Linked DNA regions of Alligator mississippiensis. The protein of the gene in region 3 purifies or fractionates together with the protein of the main gene of each other region. This does not show direct contact. Links are inferred from orthologs where the notes say so. Each region holds a gene or a part of one and is shown on either strand. Other genes may lie near its edges. The genes, in order: C15H17orf49, SHPRH, RBBP4 and ZBTB2.

Region 1 (7,478 bases), on a different chromosome or scaffold from region 3:
TGCTCATTACCTATGGGCAAACCCACCAATGGCAGATGACGCAGGCTGCCTACGCCATTGTGCTCAGCCCTCATTAGCTTTGCAAATGCACTCATTAGTTATGCAAATGCCACCCAGAGACCATGTGACTCTTAATTGCTATGTGGAAACCTTGTCAACTATTCCTGATGCCGGCCCTTGCCCCTTCCCTGACCCACCCCATTGCCACCCCCCCCCCCCCCAGCCACCCCTGGGCTTGCATTGCCGGGTCCCTCCCCACCAGCTCCCAGAAGGGAAACTGAGGCACACAGGAGGCGGTAGAGGGGAAGGCCCTTTATTCACTGTCACACTCCGCCCCAAGCCCCCTACCCTCAAAACAAGTGATGGGGCTGGGGGGTGGGATGGACACCCCCAGTGTCCTGCCCCCTCAAGCTCAGGGTGGTGTCCGGTGGTCTGGCTGGCCAGGGTCAGCGCGACAGCAGGGGCAGGTCACCAGTGGTCATGAGCAGCCCAGGGTCCAAGGTCAGGCTGTCTGGGAGAGGAGAGAGAGCAGAGAGAGGCTGAAAGGGGGGGGAGGAGAGGCAGAGCCTAAAGCAGGAGGGGGTGGGGCCTAAACCTGGGAGGTTGGGACTAAGACACTGGGGTGGGGCCAGGACTGGAGTGGGTGGGGCCTAGAGAAGGAAAGGACAGGGAGGCTGAAAAGGGGGTGGGGCCTGCTGAAGGGGCTGGGGCTCATAGAGCAAAGTTGTGGAGCCTGGAGAAATAGGGTCAGGGCAAGAGGGTGGAGTCTCCAAAGCCAAGGGAAAGTCTCAAGGAAAGGGGGGTGGGGCTGAGAAGGTAGAGGTGGGGCCTATGCAGACTGGGGCAGAGCCTGGACTGGGGCAGAGGCTGGGACCTATATGGCCTGGGGGTGGGTGGAGCCTGGAGGAAGAGGGGAGGAGCTGAAGAGTAGGGGGGGGTTAATCTCAAGGACTGGGGGCGGGGCCTGGTGAAAGGGGGCGGGGCCTGGGGATGCAGGGAGCAAAGGACCACCCCCAAGCAGCCAGGCCCCCCATCATGTACAGCCCCCCCAGCTCTCCTCTACTGGAGCCCCCCCACCATCTGCTGGGGATCCAGGCTGATCCTGAGGCCTCCCCGCACCCCACCAGCGGCCCCCCCGGCTCCTCCTTACCCTGGTCGAAGTTGAGCTTTTTAGGGGGCGGTGCATCGAGTCCCTCGATGTCAACCAGGTCGCTGCTGGCATCCGCATCGTTCAGGGCGCTCAGCGTCACGTCTAGGGGAGCAGCATGGGTGGGGGGCCCCCGAAAACCCCTGCCACTTCCTCCCCTGCACACAGCCCCCTGTTCCGGCCCGGGGGAGCCCAATACCGAATGGGGGGGGGGTTTCAAACCCCATCTTGCAACCCAGGGGGACCCCAGGATGGGAAGGAGGTCTCAGTACCTCTCACTCAGCTGGGGGGGATCCCAAAATTCAATGGGGCATCTCAACCCCTGCTGCAGCCTGGGGTGACCCCAAGACTGAACGGGGGGTCTCAGCCTCCATCCAGCTGCTCAGGGACACCTCAAGGTTGAATGGGGGGGGGTCTCAAGCCCCTCCCACAGCCCAGGGGAGCCCCAGGATTGAATGGGGGGGTCACAATCCCCTGCCTGGGGGGACCCCAGGATTGGGGGGGCTTCACAGCTCACCTGAGGCCTTCTGCTTCTTGGCAGGGGGGGCGTCAGGGGCAGGGGGCACCCCACTGTGCCCCCCCTTCTTGGGCCCCTTTTTGGGGGAGTCAGCTGGCAGCGGCACCCCGCTGTCCTCGTAGGCTTTGCGCTTGGCTGTAGCCTTGATTTGGGCCCTGGGGGGGCGAGAGGGTGGGGCCACGGTGAGCTGGGGCGGGGGTTGAGGGGTGTGGGGCTCCCCTCCAGCCCCCGCCCCCGCCCTTACACCGTGCGCTCCTTGATGACGGCGCTGAGCCGGTTGAGGTCGTCGCCGAAGCGCGTCACGGCCGCCCGCAGCATCTCGATCTCGCTCTCTGTCCACTTGGCCCTGGGGGGCGCGGGGTGTCAGGGGGCCCCCAGCCCGGAGCCCCCAGCCCATAAACGCTCCCCAGTGGCCCCCCCGATCCGAAACCCCCTCTTGGCAGCCCCCGAGACCCAACCCCCCTGCAGCAGGGCTTAGGGGGCAACTGGGGGTGTTTGGGGGGCAGGTGTAGGGGGAAGGTGGTGGGGTGTGGGAGGCAGGGGGCGGGGCTTACCCCGCGGGGGAAGAATCGGCCACAGGGTGCAGCTGCATGGTGAGCTCCCCCAGCTTGGTGAAGGCAGCACCGGCGGCTGAGAAGATCTCCCCGACCTGTGGGGGGGCGTGGGGGGCTGAGGGCAGTGCTCTGACCCCTTGACCTCACCTGCCATGACCTCTGACCCTGCTGCTCCCCCAGCTCCAGTCCCTGGGGGCAACCCTATCCCACCCCTGAGCCCCCCTACAACGTAGTAGGTACTCTTAATTCCCCCCCCACAAATGGGGCGGGCTTCTCAACCCTGGCGGGGGGGTCCCTCCACCCTGGGCCCCGCCCCCCTGTAGAGCCCCCCCCGAGCTGCCCCCAAAGCCCCTCCCCCTCCATGGGGGGCCCCAGTGGTCCCTCCCCTATGACCCCCTCCACCCCTTTTAGGGGTTCCCTGGACCCCAGGCCCCTCCCCCACCCAACTCGCTGCCCCTCCCCCACTGCAGGCCCCACACCCCATCCTGGCCCCGCCCCCCATGACCCCACCTTGGTGCTGGCGGAAGTCATAGCCCCCAGCCGCCGCCCCGGCCGCCGCCCTGGCACGACCGGAAGTGGGGCGCTCTGGCCCCCGTCGGCCGCCGGCGTCTCGATGGTGCGGCCGCTCCGTTCCCCCCCGGACCACCTGGTGCCTCGGTGGTGTTGGCGGACGCTCTAGCCGCCCGGATCCTCCAGCGCCTTGGTGGTGCGGGGGTGGGTGAAGCGCTCTAGCAGCGCGTCTCGGTGGTCCCTGCAGACGCTCCCGCCGGAGTCGCCTACGTCTCTATGGTGATTGGGAGCTCCAGGTTCTCGGCGGTAATGGCGGGCGCTCTAGGCGGTGTGGAGGACCACCCACTCGCTGGCTTTAACTCTTTCCTACCCCTCCCGCCTGGAGCCGTAGACCGGCGCCCTCTAATGCCCCCCCATCTACCCACAATGCACCTGGAAAAGCCCTTGGGGAGCCCATAGAGCCACTGCTCCCCACCCATAAAGCCAACCCCCCCTCCCATGGAGCCCACCCATCTACCCACCATGCACCTGGGGAAGCCCTTGAGGGACCCCCCCCCCCCCCCATAGAGGAAACCCCCAGCCCCTCCCTAATATACAGCCAGCCCCCCCAATAGAGCCCACCCCCTACCCACAATGCACCTGGGAAAGCCCTGGGGACCACCCCGCTACCCCCATCCATGGCCACTCCCCTCCACCAAGCCACCCCCTCCCATCAGGCGAAGTGCCGGAAGACTGGAAGGTGGCCCATGCAGTGAAGGGGAGGAGAGTAGATCCAGGGAACTACAGGCCGGTCAGCCTGACCTCCATCCCAGGGAAGGTCTTAGAGAAGATTATCAAAGAGGCCATTCTTAACAGACCGGCGGATGGCAACACCCTGAGGGGTAGCCACACGGGCTTGTTGCAGGTAGGTCTTGCCTGACCAATTTCATTTCCTTCTACGACCAGGTGACCGGTCACCTGGACAAGGGAGAGGAGATGGATGTCGTATATCTTGACTTGAGCCTTCAGTCTGGCATCTCGTGATCACCTCTTGGCAAAATTGGCTGACTGTGGCCCCGGCCTCACCGTGATCCACTGGCTCCGTGGTCGGACCCAGAGGGTGGTGGTTGGCAGAAGTCAATCATCGTGGTGCCCTGTGACCAGTGGGGTCCCTCAGGGCTCTCTTGGGCCCATATTGTTCAACATTTTCATTAACTATGTGGCCATTGGAGTCAGAAGCGGACTGGCCAAGTTCGCCGATGACACCAAACTCTGGGGCAAAGCATCCACGCCGGAGGACAGGAGGGCGATCCAGGCTGACCTGGACAGGCTCAGGAAATGGGCGGACAAGAACCTGATGGTGTTTAACACCGAAAAATGCAAGGTTCTCCACCTTGGGAAGAAAAACCTGCAGCATCCTTATAGGCTCGGCAGTGCTACACTGGCTAGCAGTACAGGTGAAAGAGACTTGAGGTCATCACTGACCACAAGGTGAACATGAGCCTTCAATGTGATGCTGCTGGTAAAGCGAGCAAAACGCTGGCTTGCATCCATAGATGCTTCTCAAGCAAATCCCAGGACGTCATTCTCCCCTTGTACTCGGCCCTAGTGAGGCCGCAGCTGAAGTACTGCGTCCAGTTTTGGGCTCCACAATTCAAAAAGGATGTGGAGAAGCTTGAGAGAGTGCAGAGAAGAGCCACACGTATGATCAGAGGTCAGGAAAACAGACCTTACGACAACAGGCTGAGAGCTATGCGGCTCTTCAGCTTGGAAAAGTGCAGGCTCAGGGGTGATCTGGTGGCCACTTATAAGTTTATCAGGGGTGACCACCAGGATCTGGGGGAACGTCTGTTCACCAGAGCGCCCCAAGGGATGACAAGGTCGAATGGTCACAAACTCCTCCATGACCGTTTCAGGCTGGACATAAGGAAGAACTTCTTTATTGTCTGAGCCCCTAAGGTCTGGAACAGCCTGCTGCCGGAGGTGGTTCAAGCACTTCATTGAACACCTTCAAGAGAAATTTCAATGTTTAGCTTGCTGGGATCCTATGACCCCAGCTGACTTCCTGCCCTGGGGCAGGAGGGCTGGACTTGATGATCTTCCCAGGTCCCTTCCAGCCCTAATGTCTATGAAATCTCCCCCCCATATAGAGCCATCCCCCACTCCCCCCTATAGACCCACTCTGCCCCACCCCCAGGCCCTCCCAGCTCTACCCCGTTCATTGCACAGGACAAAACCTTCAGGGTGGGGGACAGACACATGGGGGGGCACCAGCCCGGAGCAGGTTCCCTGTGGCTCAGAACCCCCACGTGGGGTAGCAACGTGCTAGATGCCCCCAATACCAGGTAACCCCTCATCCCCTTCCTGCCTGTCCAAGGAGCTAGGGATGCTCCCAGCAAGGGGTCCCCGTTACCCAGAGCCCCACCCCCCAGCTGCTGGGGGGGGTAGAAGCAAAGGATCATGGTCCAGGGGGGTCATAAAGAAGTGGTGGCGGCTGGTCCCGGACCTGGCAGGGGCCTCGTGGTGGCATGGAGAAGCTGCCCAGCATCACATGCAGCTTGGCCGGGAAGCAGCAGTTGCTGGCCTGTGCGATTTTGGGGGGGGTCAGTCCTGACACTCAGAGGACTCCCCCCACAACCTTCCACCTGCAACCAGGACTCCCAGGATCAGGCCCAGATTGGGGCCCTTGGAGGAGAAACACCCCCCACCCCCCTCCAGCCAGGGACTCACCCTGCTTCTCTGTCTCAGCCCCTGGTCTGCTGGGTCAGCTCACTCCCTCCTCCAGGGTACCTCTGGCCCTGGCTCTCCCACCTCCAGGCTTGTTAGGAAATGGGGTTCGGGACCAGCGCATAAAGGACTGACACAGCAATTCAATGCATGAATGACAAAGGCTTTATTTACTGCAACTCATCACTGGTAAATGAGCCTAAAGCAAAGCCAAGTCCAGTCTGTTTAGCTGTGAAAATGATAGTACCTCACCAGGGTCTTGGTCTTGTCAGCTTCTCCAAGGCGTGGATCCGTGCACCAGGAGATTGACCGATTGCAGGAGCAGATCTCGCATCCTGAACTGTGCGTGGTAGCTGCTCCGTTCCTTTTTGGTACCCTGCAGCTGGGCATCTTCAAAGCCTTCTTGTAGCTGTGCAAATAAAGAGGGAGCCCAAGCAATAAGTCGCAGGAAGATCCTGTTAATCAAACTGCTCATTATTGGTTATCAGCAGCGATCCAGGTTTTGCATTCATGCTAAAACACAATTTTTCTCATTTTAAGGAGAAACGCAAGGATTTTTCTTCTTTAAAGGAGAAAATGCGGGAAATGGGTTTCCCTATGTGGGCTGGCAGTGGCAGCCTGCGGGGGGCTAGGGGGAGCGGAAGGAGGGAGCTCAGGCAGGGGTGCAGTGTGTGTGAGTGCGCACACATGCATGTGGCAGCCTGGAGAGCAGCTCCCTCAGGTAACTCGGTGGGGGGGAGGGGGCAGAGATTGAGTCCCCCATAGGGAGGGAGTCAGGTAGGGCTGGGGCTGCTGCTCATCCCAGGGGCTGTGTGGGGTCCAGGGCTATGTGTGGCCACAGGCCTGGCGGGGAGTGGGATGGGGCTCACAGTGGCAAGGAGCTTCCCTGCCCGGTCCCACTCTGCACTGCCATGCCGGGACCTGCCTGCTGGGCAACGGGAACCCCAGGGAGGGCAGCAGGGCTGGGAGCCCGAGTCTGCAGTGGCTGCCTGCGGAGCCCATGCGGGGGGGCAGGGGGCTGCAGGCCCGGGTAGCCCTGGCAGTTGGGGGCAACTGGCAGGGCTGCGGGCTGGGGGGGGTTAAGAGGCAACAGCAGGGGCCGGGCTGCTCAGCACCACAAAGCACGCGGGGGGGCTGTAGGTGGACCCGCGTCTAGGGGAGCGCAGGGGGAGCTTGTATTTCCATGATAAACCCCTCCCCAATCAAATTAAAAATGTATCGGTATTTAGAATTTATTTCATTATAGTGACTGAGGCACCAGCGAACTTCCAGGTTGCTTTAAAATTGTAAATATATCAGTAAAATGCTGTGTTCAACTGATACCTGGACATATAGTGGCCTTTCATTGTAGTCAGGGAAAAACACAGATGTTGGGGGTTTTAATCAGAGAATTTGTCATTTTTAAACAGAGAAATCCAGGATCCCTGAATCATTATCTATCAATTATTTATTTACTGTGCATTTTTATAATTATTTATTCTTTATCAAAGGTTATTTATTTTTTATTATTATTTAGTTGTATTTACCATTTATTTTTTATTGTTTTTATAGTTTATTTGTATGTGTTACTATTATTTACTTACCATTTATTTACTGTTTTTATCATTTATTCATTCTCTATCAACTAGTATTTACCCACTGTTATATATCATGTATTTATTTATTATCTGTTAACATCATTTACTTCTTTTGTTTTTATTATTAAAACATTTGTTTTATTACTGAAGTGGAAACAACAACATTTGCTTTTTGATGAGACAAGCCTGGAGAACATTTTATTTTATACTTAAGGTACCTGGAAATTATGTTTGCTTTGCTTGTATTTTTTTCATTAGTTCATTTGTTTATTATTATTATTGTTATTAGCGTTATCATGATAATCATTATCCTCATCATCATTGATGATTTGATTTTGGTTGGTCATATTTTAATTAATTTTAATTTAATTGACTTTTTAAATGAATTTTTTAGTAGCTGAAACCCGCAAACCATTTGCAATTGCATTTTTATTGCAACAGTATCTCTTTAAACACAGGATTTTTAG
Region 2 (7,804 bases), on a different chromosome or scaffold from region 3:
CTTTTAAAGAGGCAGAGTGCTGCCTTTATGGTTGTTGTTACATTACAGCCCTGGGGCTTATGTTCGTGTTATTGTCTGTACTGGTGGTTTGGGATGAGACTATTAGGGGAGGTGAAAACCTCATTAGTGCCCAGAGGGGCGCAGCTACAGGGCCTGGAAAGCCCAGTGCCAGAGAGGCACAGCAGATAAGGGCCAGGGGCCCAGTAACTAAAGGAGACTGATTAAAGCTAGTGCCTCAATATTGGATCTAGCACAAGGGGTCTAGATTAAAAGACCTAGCTATATGAAAGGGGTGGAGGCTGAGTAGGACAAGGCCCCAACAGAGGGTATAACATCTGTATAACACCCGTGAGGCATGGGGCATGGTAAAGGAAAGGTCTGGAGCCATGCAACTGGCCCATAAGGCCTGAGGTCCCCATTCAGCACAGTACTTGAGAGGCCCAGCAAAAGGGCTCAAAAACTAGTAAGCTCGAGTGAGGTTCAGCGGACTGGGACCAAGCAAGGGCCCGTGGGCAGCCTCCTGATTTATTTTACTGACAAGAGAGTGCCCTTGGGGCAGAGCCTGCAGGGTCACAGAGCTGCCAAGGGCATCCCATTCACCCCTGGGGACCCTGCTCCATGACATCCCAAGGAATCCCTGCCTTTTTTTCTTTTTTTAATACTAGTGTTTTTCAGTCTCTTCTTTTTTTTTGACTGGAGGCATGCCTTGGAAAATGTCAGGTCTTAGTTTTCTCAGTTCTATTTTAGTTACAGAAAAATGGTTTATTTTTATTTTCATTTTTTAAAAATCACTTGTTTTTGGTTTTTTTTTTTACTTTGGAGTTAAAAAAAACCCCCAAAAACTGAGCAGTTTTTAAGAGTTTTTGCAACAGAAAAACTGTAACCGTAGACTCCAAAGTGAAATCTGTGGGTTTATCTTAGAAATCATGTGTGCACACCTCACAGCACTAACACTGTGGCGCAAGGCAGCAGCCCAGAAAGGATTCTGAGGCACCCCAAAGTGGGCTGAGAATCACCAAGTCTGACGCAGCCCTTGGAAAGTGCCAGATCCTTGTTTTCTCTCCTTTTTTGACAAAAAAACCAAAGTGTGATTATTTTGTTTGCAAAGGACTGAGAGAGTGCAGCTGGATTCCTATTTGAGAAGTGCAGGTTTTATCATTTCAATCATCTTTGCATTACTTCACAGTGCTACCACCCTGGATAGGATCTTCTTGAGGCCCCCCAGGGTGCCTCAGTAACCCAGCTGACAATCACTGGACTGGACTGGAGGCAGCCCTTGAAAACTGCCAGCTCTTTGTTTTCATTTGGGTTTTTGACCACCAGAAAACTATAGAGCTATTCTTCTGTTGGCCAAGAATTCAAGGGAGACTGCAACAATTTTTTTCACACGATTCCCATCTGAAATCTCTAGGTTTCTCTTATAAATCATGTTTGCATCCCTAACCATGCTAACACTTCATGACCTCCCCAGCTGAGAATCAACACAGCTCTTAGAAAATGCCAGCTGTTCCTTCTCACTTGGGTTTTCTGCCTATGGAAAAATAACAGAGCGGTTTTCCTACAGCAAAGAACTCGAAAAGATCCCAGTTGTGGATTCCTAGATCAAATCTAGAGGTTTATCTTGCAAATCACATGTGCACACCCCACAGTGCTAACACCCGGCAGCACCGTGAAAAGGATCCATCTCAGCACCCTGAGAATCACCAGACCCGAGGCATCCCTGGGAAACTGCCAGCTCTTTCTCTGCACTTCGGTTTTTGCCTATAGAAAAATGAGAGCCATTCTTCTGTTGCCCAAGAACTAAGAGACCACAACGTTTCATCGCACTGCAGATTCCTATCCAAAATCTGTGGGTTTCATTCCTGAATTGGGGTTCACACTGCCATGGTGCGATTCTCCCAGCTGAGAATCCCCCGACCCAAGGCAACTCTTGGAAAACACCAGCTCTTCCTTCTCACTTGGGTTTTTGCCTACAGAAAAATGGCAGAGTCATTCTTCTGTTGCCCAAGAACTGAGGGCACGCGCACGCACGCACACACACACACACACACACACACACAGGAGGCTGCTCAAATGCTCTGTCATTCTAGTGTGTCGGAGCACCCAATTAATTAATCAAGTCTGGTGGGACGCAGAAGTTACTGCGCTCCAGCAGACTCCAGCGCCACGTGAATCAGTGCCCCTGCACTGAAAAATGGTGGCGGGATGCTTTAAACTAAAGTTCATTTGAGCCTTAGCTCAAAGCACCCTGCCACTGTTTTTCAGCACATGGATACTGATACATGATGGCTACAGATGCTTTTAATTAGCATGGCTCTCAGAGCATTTTTCACACGTGTTGCGGGACGCAAAGCTGGGCGCTTTAATGAGCGAGCCGTGCTAATTAAAAGCACCTGTGTATCAGGGTTGGGTGGCACGTTTCTATCCCAAATCTCTGGGTTTCATTCCCGCATAAGGGGTTTTCACCCCTAACTGCACAACGCCCAGAAAACACCGGGTCTGCCTTCGCACTTTGGGGTTTTGCCCACAGATGAACAACCAACAAAGCAGCTCTCCTGGGGGTAGGGCTCAGGGAGACGGACCCCCACGGTAAGCCCCTGGCTCTCCCCTGCCAGCCCCCGTACTTGCCCCTCCCGTGCTAGCGATGCCCTCTCACGCCCCCTCCCCCCGGTCACAACGGACCCTGGGGTCGCTGCCCCCCCACTCGCTGCCCCGCCGCGCGAGCCCGTTACCTGGTCACGCCCGCCCCGCGCGAGCGCCCCCCCGCCGCCCGGCCACCTCAGGCCGCGGCCCTCCGAATGGGGCGCGCAGACGTCACGACGCCACGCCCCTCACCACCGGGCAGCGGAGACAGCACTCGCGCTTGCGCAGTCGCGGGACGGACCCGGACCCCCCTGCCAGTGGTTGGAACCGCCGGAGACCACATTCCAACTACGTCATGGGTGAGGGGAGGGGAGGGGTCAGTCAGCCCCGCGGGAGGCAACTACAGCCCCCACCCCCCTCCGAAGCCTCTCGGGGAGTGAGCGCTGGAACCAACAAGCTAGGAAGGCAGCGCATGCGTAGTATCGATTTGGAAGCCGAAGGGGGTAGGCGGGCAGTAGTCGGGCAGAAGAAGGAGGGGCCTGTGAGGCGCATGCGCATAGGGAGGCGGTTGAGGGGCACGTGGACAGAGGAGGATCTGGGTTGAGACTGCTTTTGGGTCTAGGCTTTTTTCCCCGTGAGATGGGGCGCTTTCTAGCCTTGCTCCTAAATGCCATGAACGTTACTAAAACAAAGTTTTAACTATCCCTTAGAATAAAAGGCTGCTCCATTACAAAGCATCTGCGTCACCCCTTTTATGGCTTGTTTGTACAGATGTTTATAACCCCCTTTTTTTACAGAGACACATTGGAAAGGGAGTTTGTAGGGCTCCTCATGAAAATAGCCCAGGGCATGAGCATTTGCAGCAAGACAATCAAAACCCTCACAACCATGGGGGTTTATCTAGTCAAAAAAAAAAAAAAGAGAAAATACCTCACCTCAGGCCACAAATAGTGACTTATTGCTAGCAAGGCTTCAAAGCAGGAGAGACAGCAAGCATTTACAAGCAGTCCATGCACTGAAATTTGTTTGTGAAAAAAGTTGCAGCCACTGAATACGTTTTAAGTCACAAAAAGTTCCTTTAAAAAGTGTGCTTGTGAGTAACTAGCGAAGAGAGAAAGAAGGGCTGATTTAATCTAATACAATACAGTACATAGTTCACTTCAAAATTTGCAAAGTTGTGGAAAAGCAAGACCCAGTCTTGCTGCAGAACCTACTGATCTCTAATCAGAGATGGAAAGAAATGAAGGAATCCATCATCATAGAAATTGCTTGGGTTTGATGGAGCTTCCAGTTGTGTTTGGCTTAAAGCGGGGTGCTGAACTTATCTGACCTGTCCTGCAAACTGGACGAGCAGCATAGGACTGGTCTGTGGTCCAGAAGAATGTGTCCCGTCCCCCATTGCACCTTTCTCAGCAGGCTGGATCCAGTCCCACTGTAGCCAGTGCAGGATGCATATGGCTTCCACTGTGGGACCCACACTGCATGCACTGCCCACCCCAGACAGACTGGAGTGGTTGTATCCCAGACTGACTGGAATAGGTGCTATGTGTGGCATGGTCTTGGACCGGATGGAGCAGGTGCTACAGGTGCTGGGTTCAGCATGCAGGGGTCTCATACTGGCCCAGCACCGGGAGCCAGATGATGAGGCTCCACAAGTAAGATCTGGCCTATGGACCACCTTTTTGACACCCCTAAAGGTATTACAACAACTTATTAGGTGTTAGTTGTAGTGGGATTTCCACCCTCCCATAGGTTTAAATGGATATGAATCAAGGACGTGTTTTGAAACAGAAGATGCCTTTTTTTCTCTCTCTTGAGCAAGTACTTTGATTTTGATACCAGATTTTGGTACTCTTTCCTCAGGTTGAATAGCACCTAATTCCAAAACAGGCTATGATCCAGCAAGGCATTTAAGCAAATGTTCATCTTTAAGTACCTGTAATCCCATTGTTGCTGGGTTTTTGGTTGTAGCCGTGTTGGTCTAAGAACCTTGCCTGCCTGTAATTCCAAAGGCTTTCCTGGCACTACTAATGGAGCAAGTTGATATTCAGCATAAGTACAGTTGGCAGTATGTAGCAGTGCTTTCAAAATCACAGCTACCATAATATTATCTATGTACAATGACCCTAATACAGAGGTGGGCAAAAAGCAGCCTGGGGCCGGATGCAGCCTGCCAAACCATTCTATCTGGCCTGCGGGGCCCCTAAAAAATTTAGAAAATTAATATTAATCTGCCCTGGGTTGCCTGTCATGCGGCCCTCAATGGCTTGCTGAAACTTGCTAAGCGGCCCTCTGCCCAAAATAATTGCCTGCCCCTGCCCTAATAGATCTCTATATATGCAAAATTTTGAAAGCACAGGATTGAAGAGAATATACAATATGTTGCTACTTTTTAGTGCCCTAACCACATTTCCCAAGAATAACTGAAACCATCCATGGGCATAATCCTTCACTGTTTTAGACTAATTTTCAGCAGGGAAGTACTGTTGATTTTTGCAGAGCTAAACTAAACTAAGCGCAGTTAAAACTAAACACAGTGCAGTGGAGAATCATACCCTCAGGGTTTTAGCAATTATTTTGTAATGTTTTGAGTTTCATCATAATGGCTTTAGTCTGATATCCTAACATCAGATTTTTATATCCAATCTGAAATCTATAATGACAAAAAGGATGAGTAAAATTAAACAGATATCGAACTATATTTACTTAGAAGTGTTCTTATAATAACTAAAATCACAGCAATACAAGGACTGAAGGGAGAGTAATATATTTGTTCCCTTGAGGTATGAGGGCCAAGAGGGTCAACCTTCTGATCGTCCTCCTATTAATCTACCAAATCCTGTCACAAAAGTGGTGGTAAACCAATTAATCCAGAATAATTATAAATAGCAACAAAATGGAGCACCAAGTGTCAGTCTACTTTGCTGAAAAGATCATGTACATGAGGGAAGTCTTGAATACCTTGGAACTGCTCTTTCTATACCCTTCGACCAACAACTCCATTCCCAGTTTACCATTCCCACTCAACAAGAGGTTCAGGACACCCTAAATTAAATATAGCCCAAGACTTTTCTCCCAACTCCTGATATCCATGGCTAGTGGAGAGTCATATACAAATGGTGCTATTCTGAACTGAAATGGACAATTCAGGGAGGGAATTTTCCCTTTTTCTTCAGATGTGCAGTAGCCTGACCACGGACACGTTGGTTTTAACCACCCTACCATCAAATCTCCCATTGCTAAACAAGCTCATAGAGAATATAGTCAAAGCCAACAAAAAGTTAATTTAACTGAATTTAAGAATTAAGTTCTGTATAGTTGGAGTACAGTATTTAGCAAACAAATTACAGGGCAGTCGTCTTTGGTCAAGGGAACCTACGATTGGCCAATTCAGTCTGCAGTTTAGGAAGTCTGTAGTCTGTACTCTTGGAGTGCCTGTTGATGCCTAGTTTTCTGTTGAAAGCAGCATTTGTCTATGCTGCTACCATATCTATTTGGAAAGAACAGGGTCATCCAACTAGTAGTCTATGCCCTAAGGAGTTAACCTGCAGTCCCCATAGTTCCTAGACTGAGCACCACTCCCTCCATTGCTCTCCTGGAGTCTCTGGCTCTCCTTTCTTCCTCCACTTTCTGCTGCCTACCCCTGCCCCTGGGAGTGGTACAGTGTGGAGAAGATGGAGCCTGTGGCTGAGGGAACTCAGGCAGGGACCTTGGGACCCAGCATGGTGCCAGTGGTGGGTGGCATGGTAGGGGAGGCATGCCATTTAGGGGAGGATGCCACAGCAAGACATGGGGCAGTGGTACAGTGCAACAGGGCAGGCTCGCATGGTGCACTGTGGGTAGGGGGTATGTGGCATGGCGTGGTGCAGTGCAGGAGAGAAAGGAGATCACATGATGGGGGGAATCCCATACAGCTTACACAAGGGCATCTGTGGCCCCCCACCACACAGCAATTGGACATCCCTAGAAATCAAATCCCATTGTCTCCCCATTCTGGCACATTAGCAGGCCACGGTCAGTGAAAAAGGTAAAAGGAACACCCAGGGGGTAGTACCAATTGCCCACTTAATTGTAAGACACTCTTGCTCTATCACTGAACTTTTCTGTTGCCAGGGAAGGAGCTTCCTACTTAAATACAGGATTAGGTGTTCCCTGTCCTCAAACTCTTGGGAGAAAATGGCTCCCCAACCTCACTCCAAAGAATCATTCTGCAGTATGAATTATTTTATGAAGTCTGGGCCATGCAGTACTGGGGCACTGCATAGGAGCCTTTTTATAGTCCCCAATGCCTCTGCATACTCTGCAGACCATCACACCTTCTTGGGTGCCCTACCACAAAGTAGGTTTATACTGGTACTATGGGATAAAGCACTAACAATACCTTGCCAGCCCTAAAAACAACTTTGCTTGCTGCTTCATTGTGGTCACTGGGGATTTTACCAGTGCCTTTACTGTACCTACCAGGAGTTTAATCCTTCTATTTCCTAGGGGTACCCCTAGTATTCCTAGGGGTACCCCTAGTACATCTGAACTGACACTCAGCTGGATTAGTTGCGAGGCCTGCCACTTGAAGTGAACAGTGAATGAAGCACTGCCTTCACCTGCTAGATGTCCACCTGCTAGGTGCTGGTGAATATTACCACATCATTCCGGTATGTACATGCATATGCCCAGTGTGGACAGAGTATTTTGTCTGTTAAACTCTGGAAGGTGACTTATGCCCCATAGGGCATGTCCCCACAAGCATACATGTGCATTTCCCTGGGGACAAAGAGCAGCTGCTTGTCTCCAAGGTATGCTCCTTCATGCACACTGATGGATGACAAATAGCCACAGGTGGAGTAGGGGAGGCTGGGGCCAGCACCTGGGCTGGTCCCAGCAGCCTTACCTGGGGTTCTGGGGGCCTTCTGGGGCTGCAATGTCATCGATCCAAGCGCAGAGTCTGGCCAGCAGCCAGAGCATGGCTTTGGCCAGCCAGGCTCCAGTTTTGGGTGGCACATGTTGCAGCAATATGCACCGCCCCCACTTTTCTTTGAAGCATTTTTTTAGATACCATGCTTTTCCAGAATCTAGTTTTGGCTTCACATTGGAAATATGCTGTGCAAAGAACCTTTTCACTTGCACCAAGTGAATTTTGCAGCATCTCAAGAGTCTTTGAGATGCCGCAAAGGACATGTTCCCACTCATCTGGATGCACCCATAGACCGCTTCTCCATGAGCA
Region 3 (7,152 bases):
TAAAAACTATTAGTTTTAAACACGAGAAAACTGAGGTAGAAAGACAGCATTGCTCAAGGCCACAGCACTATCCCTCATTGTCAAGAGCACCTGGCTTCCAATCTGCTATTCAATTCAAAAGAGCAAACTGCCTTGTACGGAAAAATAAAGTAGCCGTAAAGCCGTTATAAAAAAAGAAAAAATCAGATAAGTGACTGAAATTCCTCAACAGATTTGCCGAAGCTATATTTAACATTTGTATTGTGAATTGGAGAGCAAGTATTTGTCAGCACCTGCACCGAGAGAGACCCCAACTTACACACTTTGTACAGGAATCTCTCTCTCTATCACACACACACACTTTTAATCATATACAACCAAGTCAAAACTAAACCTATTTTCAGGATCACAAGCAGATTTCAGGAAATAAACAGAATAAAAGGAAAAGATATCTACAGCCTTATGATCGCAAGTAATATTGCAAAACTTTTTAATATACTATACTTTAATACTCACTCTGAAAAAACAAAAAGGAATTGAAGACAACAACAAAAGAAAAGAAGTAGTGGTACTAAAATTTGATATTTCTGGGAAACAGAAATCCTGAAATGAAGTATTTTAGACAGAATCTTGTTTACAAGCAGTACTAGCAAGTCCAACAATCAAGGTATCAATTGCACAACCTTGGCTCCTGGCAAACAAGGAAATGAGACAACTGAACTGGAAAAGTTGTATAACGTGGAAGAAATCATTAACCCAACTAGAATAAGATATGGCTAATAGGTAGGAATGCTGGCTGCCTAGGAAGGTTACTGATATATTTGGTTTGGATCCCATGGTATTATGGCATTTAACTGAGCAAAATACAATCATCCTTTTATTCTGGAGGGGCTGGCACGTCTACCAGTCAGCAGAATTCAAGCTAAAAAGAACACTTGAAATTGTACACCCTCTAAGGAATGGCAGAAAGCCTCTTTTATCAAATTATGAAAGCTACCATCATAAAGAATACTTTATGCAGTCACAATGAGAAATAATTAAAATAATTTCTATTGCACAATCTTCCAATAAGTTCTACCCCTCTCCTCTTCAAAATGTTATAAAAGCAAAAAGTAAGTTTAATTCAGCATGGCATATGGAAGATTAGAGTACAGTGCACAGATCCAAGAAGAAAGGAGGAAAAGTTGTAACCTCTCCTGATCACTTCATAGGATAAAAGTTCCATATTACTTAATGATCTATTAACTCCAAATGAAAAAAGCCATTATGTCCAGTGGGAAAAAAAAGTTTGGAACTCCACTTGCTGATCATCCGAGACTCTTACCTCCTTTCTCGCTATCATAATGTGAAGCATCAAACTGTGCATCGTCATTGGGCAGCTGCACGCTGGCTATCACAAGATGATTTTGCTCGTCTGAAGTATGTGTCCCCAGGACTAGCCGGTGAATACTGAAATCTTTGCCTTCGGGTCTACAACAAAATAGGATTACAGGAGGGGAAATGAAAGGGAGTTAATTAGATATAGTTGGCTCACAGGAACAAACCTGGACCTGGAAATTAAACCTCCAAAAATAAATAAATAAAATAAAAATTATAATATATCTTTTAGCGCTGACCATGCCCTCTTACTCCAATATCAAATCTTCCAAACAAAATCACCGCAGTCCAACCCTAGACGGACAGCAGATACCTATTTCCTTGCTGCTATCCCAAACAAAATCACCGCAGTCCAACCCTAGACGGATAGCAGATACCTATTTCCTTGCTGCTATCCCAAACAAAATCACCCCTGTCCAACCTTAGACAGATAGCAGCAAGGAAATCTGTATCTGACATCCCCACAATACAAGCTCTCTTCTCCCCGCAGGACTCTCCCACTAGTACTCCCGTGAGTAACGCCTTGAGGCATATTAGCATTTTCTGCAAGTGACAGGTGGAAAAATACATTGTGTCAGGGACCCGGGGAAAGAACAGTTGTGCTGCACAGCAGAAGGGTTTTGAACAATACCTAAATGCTGCGTACGTTCATTTTGCAACTTCATCAATGGAGGGTAAAGAAGAAAACATCACTTAGTTACAGGTTGAACACAGCCTGAAACATTTGCTGCCAGTCAGCAGCTATTTCTGAATCAAAGAGGCACCAGGCAGCAGGCAGCAGAGGTGCTGCCTGGTGCCAGCACAACAGTCCTCAACCTACTGTGGCCAAAGAGCTGATCACAGCCGGCAGCAACCCACTCCCTCCCATACGTGACAGCGAAAGCGTCCTTCAGTCCCATTTACACCAACAACCAGGAGGCTCGACTCACCTGGTTACATCAGGAAGCCACTGGGCAGTCAAGCTGGGCCACTCGAGCGCGTGGGTCATCACCAGGTCGTAGAGGAAGGGCGTGTTCTTCTTCCAGATCTTGTACTCCTCGTTGATCACCCGCTCCTCCACCGCATCGTCGAAGGCTGCTGCACGTCGCCAAGGGGAGGAAAAAAGAACGTGTTCATTTCAACGGCGGGTCCGGCTAGCACCCTACCCGTGCGGCCCCGTCGCTTTGCCGTAGCTGCCAAACAAACCCACCCACTGCCAGGGTGCACCTTCCCACCCGCCCGCCCGCCCTCCGTGGCCCTCACGGGCCCATTACCAAGGGCCCCCCCCACCGCGCACAGACCTGGGGAAGCATTTCAGTCCCCCCCAAGAACCAGAATTGGGGGCTTTGCTGTGCAGATGAAGGGCCAATGATATCAAATATGCAAATTAAAGGAAAATTATGCAACACATGCTAATTAAAGGGGGGGGGAAATGCCTCTTTGAAGGCTCCCACGGAGGAGCCGGACAGGAAGAGAAGGGAGGCCCAAGGGCTGCTTGCTCCGGCAGGGCTGGGGAGGTCCCACTCCCGGCCGCGGCGCCAGGCCCTGCTCCCGGCCGCACGTACCTTCCTTGTCCGCCATGTTGGGGTGCGGGGCGCGGGCTGCCGGCTCGGTGCAGCCGCCGCTCTATTGTTTCCGACCCCCTCTGCGTGCCACTCCGGCGCCGCGCGCCCTTCGCGCCAACGCCCGCCAATCACCGCCCGCGGCCGGGCGCCCGCCGCCAATAGGAGCCCGGCGGGCGCTTGACAGGGCGGGCCTAAGGAGGCGGCGGGCTTGCTGTACGGTCACGTGGGAGGGGCCGGCGCTGGTGAAGCTCCCATGGGAGCCGCCATTTTCTGACGGAGGGGCAGCATGGCGGGCCGCCTTAAAGGGCCAGCGGCCCCTCATGCCCTTGCTGGGGCTCAAGCCTCATTGACCCTGTTTCTCAAGGCTGCTGCGGGAGGGGCAGAAAAGCAAGCAGCCTAGGGCTTGCCTGCCAGTCGCTGCAACCTGTGATCAGACAGGATTGAGGATCTTGAATAAAGCAATATTTATTAGCCTATATAGCAATATTGATCTCGAATAAAGCAATATTTATTTGCCCCCCTTTTTGTTTCGTTCTAGGTTTGAAGGACAAAATTCAGTTTTTGCCTGAATCTGCTTCCTACGTGGGGGTTTGTTTCTTTTTTCCCCTCTGATTTTCCCCCAAAGAGTCCGATCAGCGCTGGAGATCGTAAGAGTTTTGTACAAGAGCGTCCTGTGTAGGAGACATTATGGTCGGCCTTTGCTGACTATTAGGGATCCTGGTTTTCTCTGGATATCCCCAATTTTCAGTTAAAGTAATCCCAGATCCATGTTTTTCCATGATTAAGATTAAACATCACTAGTATTTACCTATATATTAATGAGGTTTCATTTAAAAAATCCACATTTTTTTGTGATTTAACTGAAAAATGGGGATTTAAAAAAAAAATTTTTTTTAATCGGAGAAAACCGGGATCGCTGCTGATTAGCCTCTGGCCTCGCTCTTCACTGCAGCAGGAAAGACGCTGATTATTTCCAACTGGAGTCAGTATTTTGCAGCGGTGTGAGAATAAAGCAGACCACGCAGGGGCTCCGAAGGAGGACGCTGGAGAACACCTACCCGATATCATCACCGTATCACAGAACATGAGAGCTGGAGGGACCTCGGGAGGTCACATCTAGTCCAACCCCTGCTCCGAGCAGGACCAGCCCCAACTACATCATCCCAGTGAAGGCTTTGCCAAGCTGGGTTTTGAAAACCTCCAAGGATGGAGACTGCACCATCTGTCTAGGTGACCCGCTCCAGTGCTTCATCACCATCACCCTCCCAGTGAGAGAGTATTTCCTAATATCCAACCTAAACCACCCTTGCTGCAACGTCAGACCGCTGCTCCTTGGCCACCACTGAGAACAGGACTACACTTTTCTTACAAATTGTATTCTTTACTCCCATCTTTAAAAAAACAGAGTAACTGATGGTATTTATTTAGTCTTAGATTTAAAAAATAAATAAATACCAGCTTTTCCTTCTACTGGAATTAACTCTAGAAACCATCTCATCGTTTCCCCCCTTTCGCTTTCATTCATAGCGCTCGGCCCCTGGTGGAAGCCTCAAACAGTCTAAATCGCCAGTGTTTTCCTTTTCTTTTGCTATTTTCCTTCTTCTTGAGCAGCAGCAGCATGCTTGAGGCTGCGCAAAATTAATCAAGTTAAACCAAAGGACAGCCTGGCACTAGCTCAAGGTGTAAGCTATTTGTGGTGCGGATCCTGAAAATGAAGCTTAACTTTAGGCACATTGAGAACTTCTTTCAGCTTCATTGACTCACTGCCTAGTACGTTTTTGCAGGCTAAAAAATACCCTTGCAAAGGATTTTGTGGCTGGAGAATTCAGGGGTGCACATTTCAAACCTCACTTATTTTCAGTGCCACTTGGTGTCCTCATTGCTCTCCAGTCGAGCAGGGAGCTCTGCCTTTAAAGGGTAGGATCACATGGTGAGTCTGGGCTGGATCAGGCGAAGAGGGGCTGTCTGAATAAAGCAGGAAGCAGGTGCTGCAAGGCTGACAGTGATGGCTGATAATTTCCGGGATTACAACCTGAACCAGGAGCAGAAGGCTATCAAAGCCAAGTACCCTCCACTCAATAAGAAGTATGAGTGTGAGTATCCCCATGGCATGTCTGTGGCTGGGAGGGGAGGTATAGACCTAAGCACGTGTAAAACTTGTGCTTCACACTGTGCCCTGGGATCTTGTCTCTAAGTGGGTAGGGGAGGCTTATTGATGCGTCTTGATATGTTATCTTAACGGAGATCATTTAGCTTTGTGCGATGGGTCCTAAAGAAGTCCCTGTGTGTTCAGCACCTCCAGGCAGGTTGCCATAACTAGTTAGTGACTCCTGACTTTGCAACTGGAAGTTTATTTTGAAAGCCTGAAAAGAGAAGGAAGCAAATCTTGCTGGGTGAAATGAAAAGTGGTATTATCACTCAAAACTGACTTGCAGTAGGGGGTAATGATGATACCATACTAAGAAAATATAATATTCATTGGAGAAACTATAATCCAAGAGCTGGTTAATTATGCAAATCACATCTGCCACCACTGATTTATTAGCCAGTCAGCTCAGAACAAAGTACCAATGCTTATTTTGTTTTAAAACTTAAGTATAATGCCTTAGTGTGGAGCTGTTATAAGGAGGGAGGTATGGTAGGGTCTGATCCTGTGCGTTACTGAGTCCCCTCAACTCCTGCTGGTTGAAGGGCAGACAACAAGTGCTCAGCACTGCAGCTCCCGGTATTATGCATCTTAGTGGCACAACTGTATCTGGCAGTAATTCTGCAGAATACTGGTTTCCACTGACACTGCACAGCTTGTTCCCATAAGCATGCAACTCATTTTGAATTAATGCCTGGTTTTCATATCCAGTTTAACCCCAGTAACACAAGTTGGATGGGTTTTAGGGTATTCTACCAATATTAGGGATACAGTGTAAAGCCAGGCCTATTACACCATCTGTTCTTTTATCCCCACAAGGGAAGTCAGATCAAAAGTTCCTTGAGAAACAAAATTTCTGTGAGCTGCTCCATAAAACAGATTATCTAAAATGCTTTTCTGGCATTTTAAGTGAACATTGATGTGAGACTGATTACAATATGGGGGGCAGGGGGAAGGTTACCAACTTCAAGGAGAAGAAAATTGAAACAAGAGTTTTGGGTTCAAATTCTGTCTTTAAGTTTCTTCCATGTGGCCTGTATAGTTTGGGAAAGCTCTATAACATTTTCATCTATTGAAGGATGGTATGAAATGCATATATATTGGGGGTACTTTTTGTGGAAACAAGGTGATGGGTTTATTATGGAGGGGTTGTTTTTCTTGGTGGCTTTCTTTTAAAACCTATTATGGTACCTACTATGTGCTGCTATCATATTGATCCTTTTATAGCATATTTAGCTAAAGGTCAGATTAACATTATTAATATGAGGTCAGATGTGTCAAAACATGCACAAAATATTCTCATGATAAAAACAGGACCTGAATTTTCTTGCAAGTAGTCATGCGTTGTTTTTCTAAACAACTTTGACAATTCCATAACTCTTTCTTTTTTTCTCCTAATCCTTCAGATCTGGATCACACGGCTGATGTTCAGTGAGTATTTACAGCTGGAATTTGAGTAGAATTTCTCTATAAGCCTGATTCTCTTCAATACTTGTCAATCAGGAGTAACTGACAAAATCTAATGTGACAAGAGAATAGGGTGCAAATATATCCCTTTTGGGCCTGTGGATGCCACATTTAAAGATGCTGTATTTGTTTCATAATTCTGCTGCCTCTTATTTCCAAATGTTCCATGTACATATGTTCCAACAGTACCTGTTTAGATATCCATGGTTTTTAGTAAAATACTCAATATTTTTCCATGTTGTTCCTCCAAAAGAAACTCCATTGTCTTTCAGTGTTTCAGCACTTACCATAGACAAGTCTCCCTGCTTAAAGGCACTGTGTTTGCTGCTTTTCCTACTCGTATTTCTATGGTACTCCAATTCCTTACTTGTATTTTCTCGTCTTTCTTTGTCGCTGCTGTATGATGGTGTAACTCTTACGTCTCTGTAGGTTACATGCCTGGGGAGATACTTTGGAAGAAGCTTTTGAGCAGTGTGCTATGGCCATGTTTGGCTACATAACAGATACAGAGACTGTGGAGCCCTTGGATACTGTAGAAGTGCAGACAGAAGGTAAGAAGGCACTGTGCAAACTTTGAAAGAGAATACTGTTGAAATTAACTTTGCCTTTCAGTCAGAAATAGCTGGCTTATTGCATGTA
Region 4 (7,920 bases), on a different chromosome or scaffold from region 3:
CCTGCTACCTAGAGGTATGTAGAAAAACATTTCAAGCTGTCTCTGTCCGAATCGCCAAATCATTCCAAACTGAATCAGAGAGTTCCAATTCGATTTGGAGAGATTAAAGGGTCCTCTGATTCGATTCAGATTCGGCCACCAAATTGGGCCGAATCTCCACCAAATCGAATCAAGGACCAAAGGTTCGCATAGCCCTAGTATATGTATTAATGCTTTAAATTACCATTTTAGTTCAATTTGACCCATTTACTTGAAACACAGGAGCTACCACATTCCAACTACAGAATCTATGGCAAGTACCAAATCCATTTTTCTCTTACCCTGGCAAGGGTTTTTCCTCAAAAAACATAAATCTGGACTGTTGAAAGCTGTCCTGAGTAAAAAAAGAACTATTTTGAACAGCAGATTCTGAGAGGCACAGAGACTCCACCTCATTTGGAAGGTGTCAAGCAAGTCTCCAGTGGTACCTTCAACAACAGATACCAGTTAACTTGATTCCGATTCAAAATCAGTGTTGCAGCCACGACAGTCCAGGAAATGAGAGAAGCAAGGGTTTTACTTTGGTGATGTCTTAATGCAGCTGAGGTCAAACTTTTTTTTGGATAGGCATGCCACAAATTAGCCCTCCACAACTGCTACTCTGAGCCCTTTTCCTGCCGGTTTTCTGCTTCCTTGCCTTGTATTCCCTACCTGACCTGCTGCTGTGCTTTCTGCTCCATCTACCACCATGCTGAATGTTTTCCTCCCCTCCAGCCCTGATCATGCTACACACAAACACTGCCCATGCCACTTGTGACATTCGTGCTGCAGGCTGACCACCTGCTTTACTGGACCAACTGTAAAGCTGGAAGAGCTGTTAGGCAAGCTTTCAGGCACAAAACGCCCACCCTCAGGTCTTCTTTCCCACACCTGACGGACACTTTGTGCCAAAGGCTTGTCTAACATCTCTCCAGACTACACAACTGATCCAATAAGATATTACAAAAAAAAAAAAAAAAAACCCCCACACACACACAAAAAAAACAAAAAAGCCTTGCTTCTGAAATCAATTGTGCAAAGAAGAGTTGCACTTGAAGAGCATGGATATGTCTGTCTACCCCAGTTTCCCCCATGCTAAACTGAAACCTTACTTGTTTTGCTTGATGATCATCATCCCAGTAGCACGTGCATCACCAGTGGTTAACAATGTAATACTTGGTTCGTTTTGGCAATATTCTGGCTTTGAGTAAAAACAGAACAAGGACTATTGCTATGACATGTTATTTCAATTAAGACACAGGAAACAATCCTGAAGCCCACAGTTGTGTGAACAGTCATTCCTATTCTCAATTCCTGGACTTAAATAAGTAACACTTCCAGAACATAGTATTTTAAACAGCTTGTTCATTCCTAGCAAAAGTCATACAATTAGGAAAAGAAGTGTTGAGTATATTTATAAAAGACAAGTTAATCATCAACCTGAGGCAGGGCGAAAAGCCAGCCTATAACTATTTAAATGCATACATTAGCATTGTTACCACTAATTATTTTAATATAGAACACTTACAGATACATTTCATAACTTGGCTTGCCACTGAGAGTTGAAATATTTAATAAAATACAAGAGATTCAGGCAGGTCAGCTTTAAGAAATGTTAGATTTTGTAAAGCCAAAAATCAATGTGTTAAAAAGACCCTTCCCATTGGGACCTGAAAAATATTTCTTTAATACTTGCCAAACCTTTTGCCTGTTCATAAAGGTGGAATTATGGGAAGCAATTCTGAAACAAAATGACTTCTTTCCTTCTTGCCCAATCTAAAATTTAAAAAAATTGTGAAGCAGAAAAACAAACCTAAACAACAACAGAAACCACACACCCGTTTTTTTCCTCCTGATTTGAATCTGATATTTTGCTACAAATAGGAAGGAAGTCTGCTTTTAGAAATACCACATGGCTTAGCCATTCTAAGTACCTCAGAACCAAAGCCCGCTGAAGTCTATGGGAATCCTACCATTGACTTCAATAGGCTTTGGATCATAACTAATATCCTTTTAAATCAAGATAACATTTCTGCTTTGCTGATAATATGACATCACAAGTTCAATACAATTTTCTTCCATCTTTAAAGCCAGACTGTCTTCTCACCCATGATATGAATCAGGTGTAACCACCTGAAAGCCACACAAGTTGTACCAGTATACATTTAAATAGGAGAATCAGGAGTGCAATTATGAAGAAGGCTTTCTAGAAATACATGCTTTCCTGTTCAGTGTCCATTCAAAGCACTGCCTATAATTATTTCATTTTAAAGTTTCATTGATTTTGCTGGTTTCAAGTGAGTAGGTAAAACGTCTTGTGCAATAAGCTCCTAAATTCAAATGTCTAGCTTAACACCTACATTAGTTTTATTTTTCATCTTGTCAAATCAAATATGAAGCACTGTCACACACACCCTCCCCCTCCCCTCCCCCCCATTCTGGCAGGTAAACTAGAAGCATTCCAATCTATTAGTTAAAAACATAATTTAAAGTTTCTTTAATCATGTGTTAAACACAACAGCTCTTTAAGCTGTTACAGTTGATCATAAATATAGTTAGGTGCATGAGAAATGCTCAACCTGCTCTGTAAAGTAGCTATTCTTCAAACTTCAATAAGCTCCTTCATTCACAATAGAAAATACAAGCTAGAAACTTAATTTTCAGTCTGACTAGCACAAGAGACACTGGGATCAGTATTTATAAACTAAATTACATGTAGCCTGATTAGATTTAACTTGTATAATATGGATTAAAAAATAATTTAATATTTATGGGCAAGAAGCTGCCAATGGACCACACTGCTCCTGCCAGAACTCCACTGGCTTCAGCAGCCCTTCACACATTCCTGGATAGATCTGTCCCAATATCAACTTAGTTCTTGTAAAATGTGATGACAGGTTGCCCTGAAGTCTGCAATAGTCTGCTGATCAACAGATACAGACTGAGACATGCTGCTGGGGAAGTTACGTCTCAGTCACACCTGGCTCTACAGGTGAAAAGTTAGTTTGTTTTCTTGCATTTGTGCATTGCACACTTCGTTTACTGAGTGCAAACCGAAGTGCCAAACACTTACTTGGGAAGCTGATGCCCGTCTCCTACAAAAAGGGCTGAGAGAAATAAAGCAAGTTCACTTGACAGCCATAAATAAATGATTCTTTACTTGATAACAACCAGGACTGAACTTCAAACTATAGACATGGGACTAACTTACTGCTACTAACAAATGGAAAACTCTCAGTTAATGATAAGGCTCTAAAGCAGTGATTCATAACTAGGGTGGTGCAGCATGCTGGGGTGCTCCAAGACTCCTTCAAGGCTGCCATAGGGGGCTGCACAACCGTAGCAGTCTTAGGAATGGAAACATGAGTCAAAATATAAATTCAGAGAAAATAAACAGAAATTCATATTAAAAGCCTTCTGATCTGTGACCTGAGTTCTTTGCAACAGCAGAACCGGTCTATTATTTTTCTGTAGTCAAAAAAAGAAAAAAGTGAAAACCAAGATAACATTTTCAGGGGGGGTCCCTTGAATCCAAAAAGGTTGGAAGCCAATGCTCCAAATCATTACTCCTAATAATCAACACTTTTTCAACAAAAAATGAGTTCTCTCAAGTTTTCACTGATAAAATATCTGCTTTGTGCCCACACACTGTTTTTCAAACTCAATTTTCATTAGGGAAAAAAAAAAGTTTTAGGACCAAAATTATTCACAACCCATCACCAACTTCCTTGAGCTGCCAACTGGTTGGCACATTAATCAGTTCAGGTCTGGACTTTCAGTCTGGCCTGCAGCAAAAATGGATGTGGCATGTATAAAAGGGTCCTCCCTTTATTTACCAGGCAAATCCTCTGCCCCTTGCAAAAGAGATTCACCCCGATTCATATAAACAGCTAAAAACAAGAAGTAAACTTTGTTGGTCACATTTATTTGTGCTACTTCATATCTGTAGGTCCTGTATCATATATTAGATTTAGTCATGAGTTTTACCACAGCAGTTCTCAAAAAAGGAAAAAAAGGGGCCTGCAAGTATGTAACATAGCAGACCCAAACTTGTATTTCCTCAACTTCCCAAAAGCACAAACCAATGTTTGCCAACTTTTTCACTTAAGTCTTTAGCCGGCATCAGGATCTGTTACAGGACAGTAGCCACCCCTCCCTCCCTTGATTAACCTTTCAGCACCCAGCACTACAGAAACACAGTGGAGTTTCCACCTTGACAGGCCTTTCCCATTTCACCTGCACAGGAGCCTTCCCACCTCCTCCTGCACTAGGGCACAACCCTTTGCAACAGGCCATGCCAGCTTGCTCGCACTCTCGGTGCATTTTATTTTTTATTAGGTTTTTTGGGGGGTTTTTTGTACAGAGGAGCCTGTTGATGACAACTAAAAAAATGAACTAGTTTGCTGACAAGTAAAAAGAGGAGCCGCTTGGCCAAGATTCGGCAGCTTGCCCCTTGACTCCTGCATGCCCTGGGCTCAGGTCACGGCTGCAGCACGGGCACTTTTCAGGCCTCTCAAACGAGCATGCCCAGCCCCCCGGGAACGGGCAGTGCGGGGGGGGGGGGGGGGGAGGAGGCTGCGGCAGAGACATAAGGGCAGCGGGTGCCCTTAATCCTCCCCAGCGCAGGAAGTTCAGCTGGCCCCAGTGCCAGGCCCCGGTGCAGGATGCGCTCAAGATGATGCGGCCGGGCCCGGGCGGCAGGCAGAGGCAGGCTCCGGAACAATGCAAGGCGGCCCGGGCCGCGGATGGCGGGAAGCGCGGGGGGGAGGAGAGCAGCGAGGCAGGAGGCGGCGGCGGCGGCCCGGTCGGTGCGGCCTGCGGGAGGGGGAGGGGCGGGGAGGGGCTGGGTGGCTCCTGCTGCTGCTGCTGCCGCCGCCACAGCGCTCGCCGCCTCCCCTCCCCCCCGGCGGGGGCTCCTCGCCTCGCTGCAGCCTCTGTGCTCCGCTCGCGGTCATGTGACCCGAACGTAACCGGACAGGAAAAGCCGCCGCCGCCGCCGCGCTGACTCCGTTGTTGCTGCTGCCGCCGCCGCCGCTGCGAGCGCAAAGCCGAGCGCGGCGCGGCGGCACCAGGCCCGGCCTGCTCCAGGTGAGCCAGGCGGGGGCGCGGGGCGAGCGGGCGGGGGGCTCCGGGGCGGGGCGGGGGAGATGGAGGGGGGTGCAGCCCCAGGCGGGCCCGGCTCGGCTCGGCTCGGCTCGCCTGCCTCGGCGCGGCGGTTGGGGCCCGCGCGGCCTTGGCGCGCTGTCTGGCGGCATCCGGAGCGGGGAGGGGAGGGCGGGGGCGGAGGGCGGGGGCGGCCCCGTCTCTCTCGCTCGCTCTCTCTCGCTCTCCCTGTCGGCGCGCGGCAGCAACGGCCGCTCCCGTCTCGCGCGCCCTGGCGGCTCCCGTCTCGCGCTGCGCGTCTCAGTGCGCCGGCTCCGTCCGGCCCCCTCGTGCGCGCGTGGCGGCCGCGTCGCGTCGCGTCCGCGTCCGCGTCGCGTGCGGCGCCGGGGGGGAGGGGAGGGAGGGACCACAGCCAATGAGAGCCGTGCCCGCCCTTCCGCCCGCCCTTCCGCCCCGCCGGCCAATGGGAGGGCGCCGTCACCTTCCCCCCCACCCTCCCCGCTCGGAGGAGACGTGCTCTGCCTGGTGGCGGAGAGGAGAGGAGAGTGGGGCGGGGGGCGGAGGAGCAGGTCCCGCCCCCCCAGCCGCAAGGCGGGGGGGGGGGGGGGGGGGGTGAGGTCAGCGTGATCGGCAGTTCCTCGCGCGGGGCCTCTCGCGGCGCCCGGGGGGAGGAGGCGCGGGCGGCTCCCCCTCCCCCTTGGCGCCATGCACCGCGCGGCACCGGCTGCTGCCGCCCCTCCCCCCCCCTGCAGCAGGGCGGGAAGGAGCCTCGGCCCCTGGGCATGTGCTGCACAGCTCCCGTGTAACCCACCCCCGGCGGCATGAGGAGGCCTCGGGCCCGTGCCGCGGCCGCCCTGCAGCGCCGTCGGGCTGAGGGGAAGCTGCTTGCGAGGTCCGGGCGCTTCTGTCCCCGGCGCCAGGGCGGGCCCTTGCAGCCGCTTGGCAACCAAAAAGCGGAGAGCGGTCGCAGCCCCTGCAAAGGTCACGAGCAGGCGCCCGGGCTGGGTTGTCGGGCTGGCCTGGACACACACACAGACAGACAGCCATGGCATCTCTGGGACGGGAGGGAACAGGTGCTCAGCACCGCCACACAGGACATAAAGCTGTTACTGTGGCAGGGCAAACTTGGGTAGGTGGGTGGAAACTGAAGAGCACCTCTTTGCTTAGTTGACATTGAGAGAGAGGGGAAAATAAAGTGCCATCAGCACTGCCTCCTTATCACGCTGACATCTCCTACCCAAGTACAGACAGGACCTGCCCAGCCCAGTCATGAAAGCAAAGCTGCAAGCCAGCCTGCAAGGTGACCCTAAATTCTGCCTGCATGGCATGTCTTGGAGGGTTGAAGACTGCCTTTGTGTGTTGTTAGGGCAGTGAGGATTTTCTGTTTTGCTCAAGAATTAAATCAGCAGCAAACAGCCAAATGCTAAAGTGAACAGCCTTTCTGGTAGCATCGAACCTCCTCTTCCCTCCCCCACCACAATCAGTCAGTACCTGTAACGTAAATAGGGTGGTTTCTTCTCCCCCTTCCCCACTTCTGACTTATGTTACACAAATTCTGATCTTGTGTGAACTGAGGCAGTGGGACATGTTCAGGCCATGGAGTGACTGCCCTTTGTTACAGCATACGAGTTCTGTCATCCTTCAGCCAGTTTGGGAAGTGTCCAACCCCACCTATGCCACAGATCTATAAGCCCACGTCAAATATGCCACCCCTGAGAGATCCTGAAAGAAATCAACAGCTCTTAGCTTCTGCCTGCCTGCTCCAAATTACCAGTTGCTCTCATCAGGTGCTTTTTTAAGCCCTTCCCTTGGGGGTTGTTGGAATTAATCTGACTTTTTTCCCCAGTTTCCCTGTAGACAGGTGGTGAGTTTCATTTCTGTCATCAGTGTTATTTTCTACCTACATAGACTTGTTTGTGTACATGACTGAAACCCTAATACATGCATTTTTACTAGCTGAACAGATTAGGACAACAAATTATGCAGTTGGAAGTCTGAAAATTTTTTAATTTCATTTTGTTTCGCTCTTTCTCTTCCTCTCCCCTCCTTCCCCCCCCCCCCTTGGATTTTGATCATTTCTCTCTCATCTAAATCTCACTCTAATGCCTTTTACTTCAGCTACTTACTTGCTCTGTGATCCAGGGCAAGTCACTACAACCTGTATCTTATTTTGCCATTTTATAACATGGGAATAATTAACCATTTTGAGATATTGTTTATAAAGCACTTTAACATTCTTACATGAAGGGTACAGTACGATTATAGCATACAAATATTGGGGAAAGAGGTTTACATGTGTCACTAATTTTACATAGGTCATTTCCTTTTCAGAGTGTAAAACATGGATTTGGCCAACCATGGACTTATTCTGCTGCAGCAGCTGAATGCTCAAAGAGAGTTTGGTTTCCTGTGTGACTGCACAGTTGCTATTGGTGATGTCTACTTCAAGGCCCACAAATCTGTCCTTGCATCTTTCTCAAACTACTTCAAGATGTTGTTTGTTCATCAGACCAGGTAACTATAAAAAGATTGACTGTTTAACACGTTATTCAGTTCAGGCAAGAAAGCCTAGGTGCATTCTGAAAAACGTTTATTTAATTTCTTATTACTGTTCAAAGAAAACCTGGAATCAGTTCTTATTTGTGAAAAACCTTTAAAAAGGACACTTCATGTCTATGAATAAACTGTCAAGGAATCCAGTCTTTTCCCACTGCTACTTATAATTAGTACTTTTCACTCTTGTCATCTGCTCAACGTTAACCCTTTTAATGTCTGTAAAAGAATGGACAAGAGCCAACA

Evidence for each region.
Region 1: the proteins of RBBP4 (region 3) and C15H17orf49 purify together in Homo sapiens (affinity purification with mass spectrometry; 5 studies listed by BioGRID and IntAct, with this or other methods). This does not show direct contact. The link is inferred for Alligator mississippiensis from reciprocal best matches to the Homo sapiens genes RBBP4 and BACC1.
Region 2: the proteins of RBBP4 (region 3) and SHPRH purify together in Homo sapiens (affinity purification with mass spectrometry; 4 studies listed by BioGRID and IntAct, with this or other methods). This does not show direct contact. The link is inferred for Alligator mississippiensis from reciprocal best matches to the Homo sapiens genes RBBP4 and SHPRH.
Region 4: the proteins of RBBP4 (region 3) and ZBTB2 purify together in Homo sapiens (affinity purification with mass spectrometry; 3 studies listed by BioGRID and IntAct, with this or other methods). This does not show direct contact. The link is inferred for Alligator mississippiensis from reciprocal best matches to the Homo sapiens genes RBBP4 and ZBTB2.

Annotation. Positions count from the first base shown.
Region 1 is NC_081838.1:23,753,021-23,760,498, reverse strand, and holds C15H17orf49 (chromatin complexes subunit BAP18), read right to left. Parts: upstream 3,013-7,478; 5' UTR 2,750-3,012; coding exon 2,729-2,749; intron 2,314-2,728; coding exon 2,219-2,313; intron 2,011-2,218; coding exon 1,909-2,010; intron 1,820-1,908; coding exon 1,665-1,819; intron 1,253-1,664; coding exon 1,151-1,252; intron 512-1,150; coding exon 447-511; 3' UTR 298-446; downstream 1-297. UniProt on the Homo sapiens protein: Component of chromatin complexes such as the MLL1/MLL and NURF complexes.
Region 2 is NC_081824.1:125,836,211-125,844,014, forward strand, and holds the start of SHPRH (E3 ubiquitin-protein ligase SHPRH), read right to left. Parts: upstream 3,015-7,804; 5' UTR 2,733-3,014; intron 1-2,732. UniProt on the Homo sapiens protein: E3 ubiquitin-protein ligase involved in DNA repair.
Region 3 is NC_081829.1:5,390,335-5,397,486, forward strand, and holds the start of RBBP4 (histone-binding protein RBBP4), read right to left. Parts: upstream 3,011-7,152; 5' UTR 2,917-3,010; coding exon 2,901-2,916; intron 2,434-2,900; coding exon 2,286-2,433; intron 1,450-2,285; coding exon 1,304-1,449; intron 1-1,303. Other genes in the region: ZBTB8OS (protein archease), read left to right, coding at 4,906-4,993, 6,453-6,477, 6,943-7,064. UniProt on the Homo sapiens protein: Core histone-binding subunit that may target chromatin assembly factors, chromatin remodeling factors and histone deacetylases to their histone substrates in a manner that is regulated by nucleosomal DNA.
Region 4 is NC_081824.1:130,276,539-130,284,458, reverse strand, and holds the start of ZBTB2 (zinc finger and BTB domain-containing protein 2), read left to right. Parts: upstream 1-4,908; 5' UTR 4,909-5,106; intron 5,107-5,749; exon of another isoform or gene 5,750-6,421; intron 6,422-6,434; exon of another isoform or gene 6,435-6,908; intron 6,909-7,436; 5' UTR 7,437-7,462; coding exon 7,463-7,635; intron 7,636-7,920. UniProt on the Homo sapiens protein: May be involved in transcriptional regulation.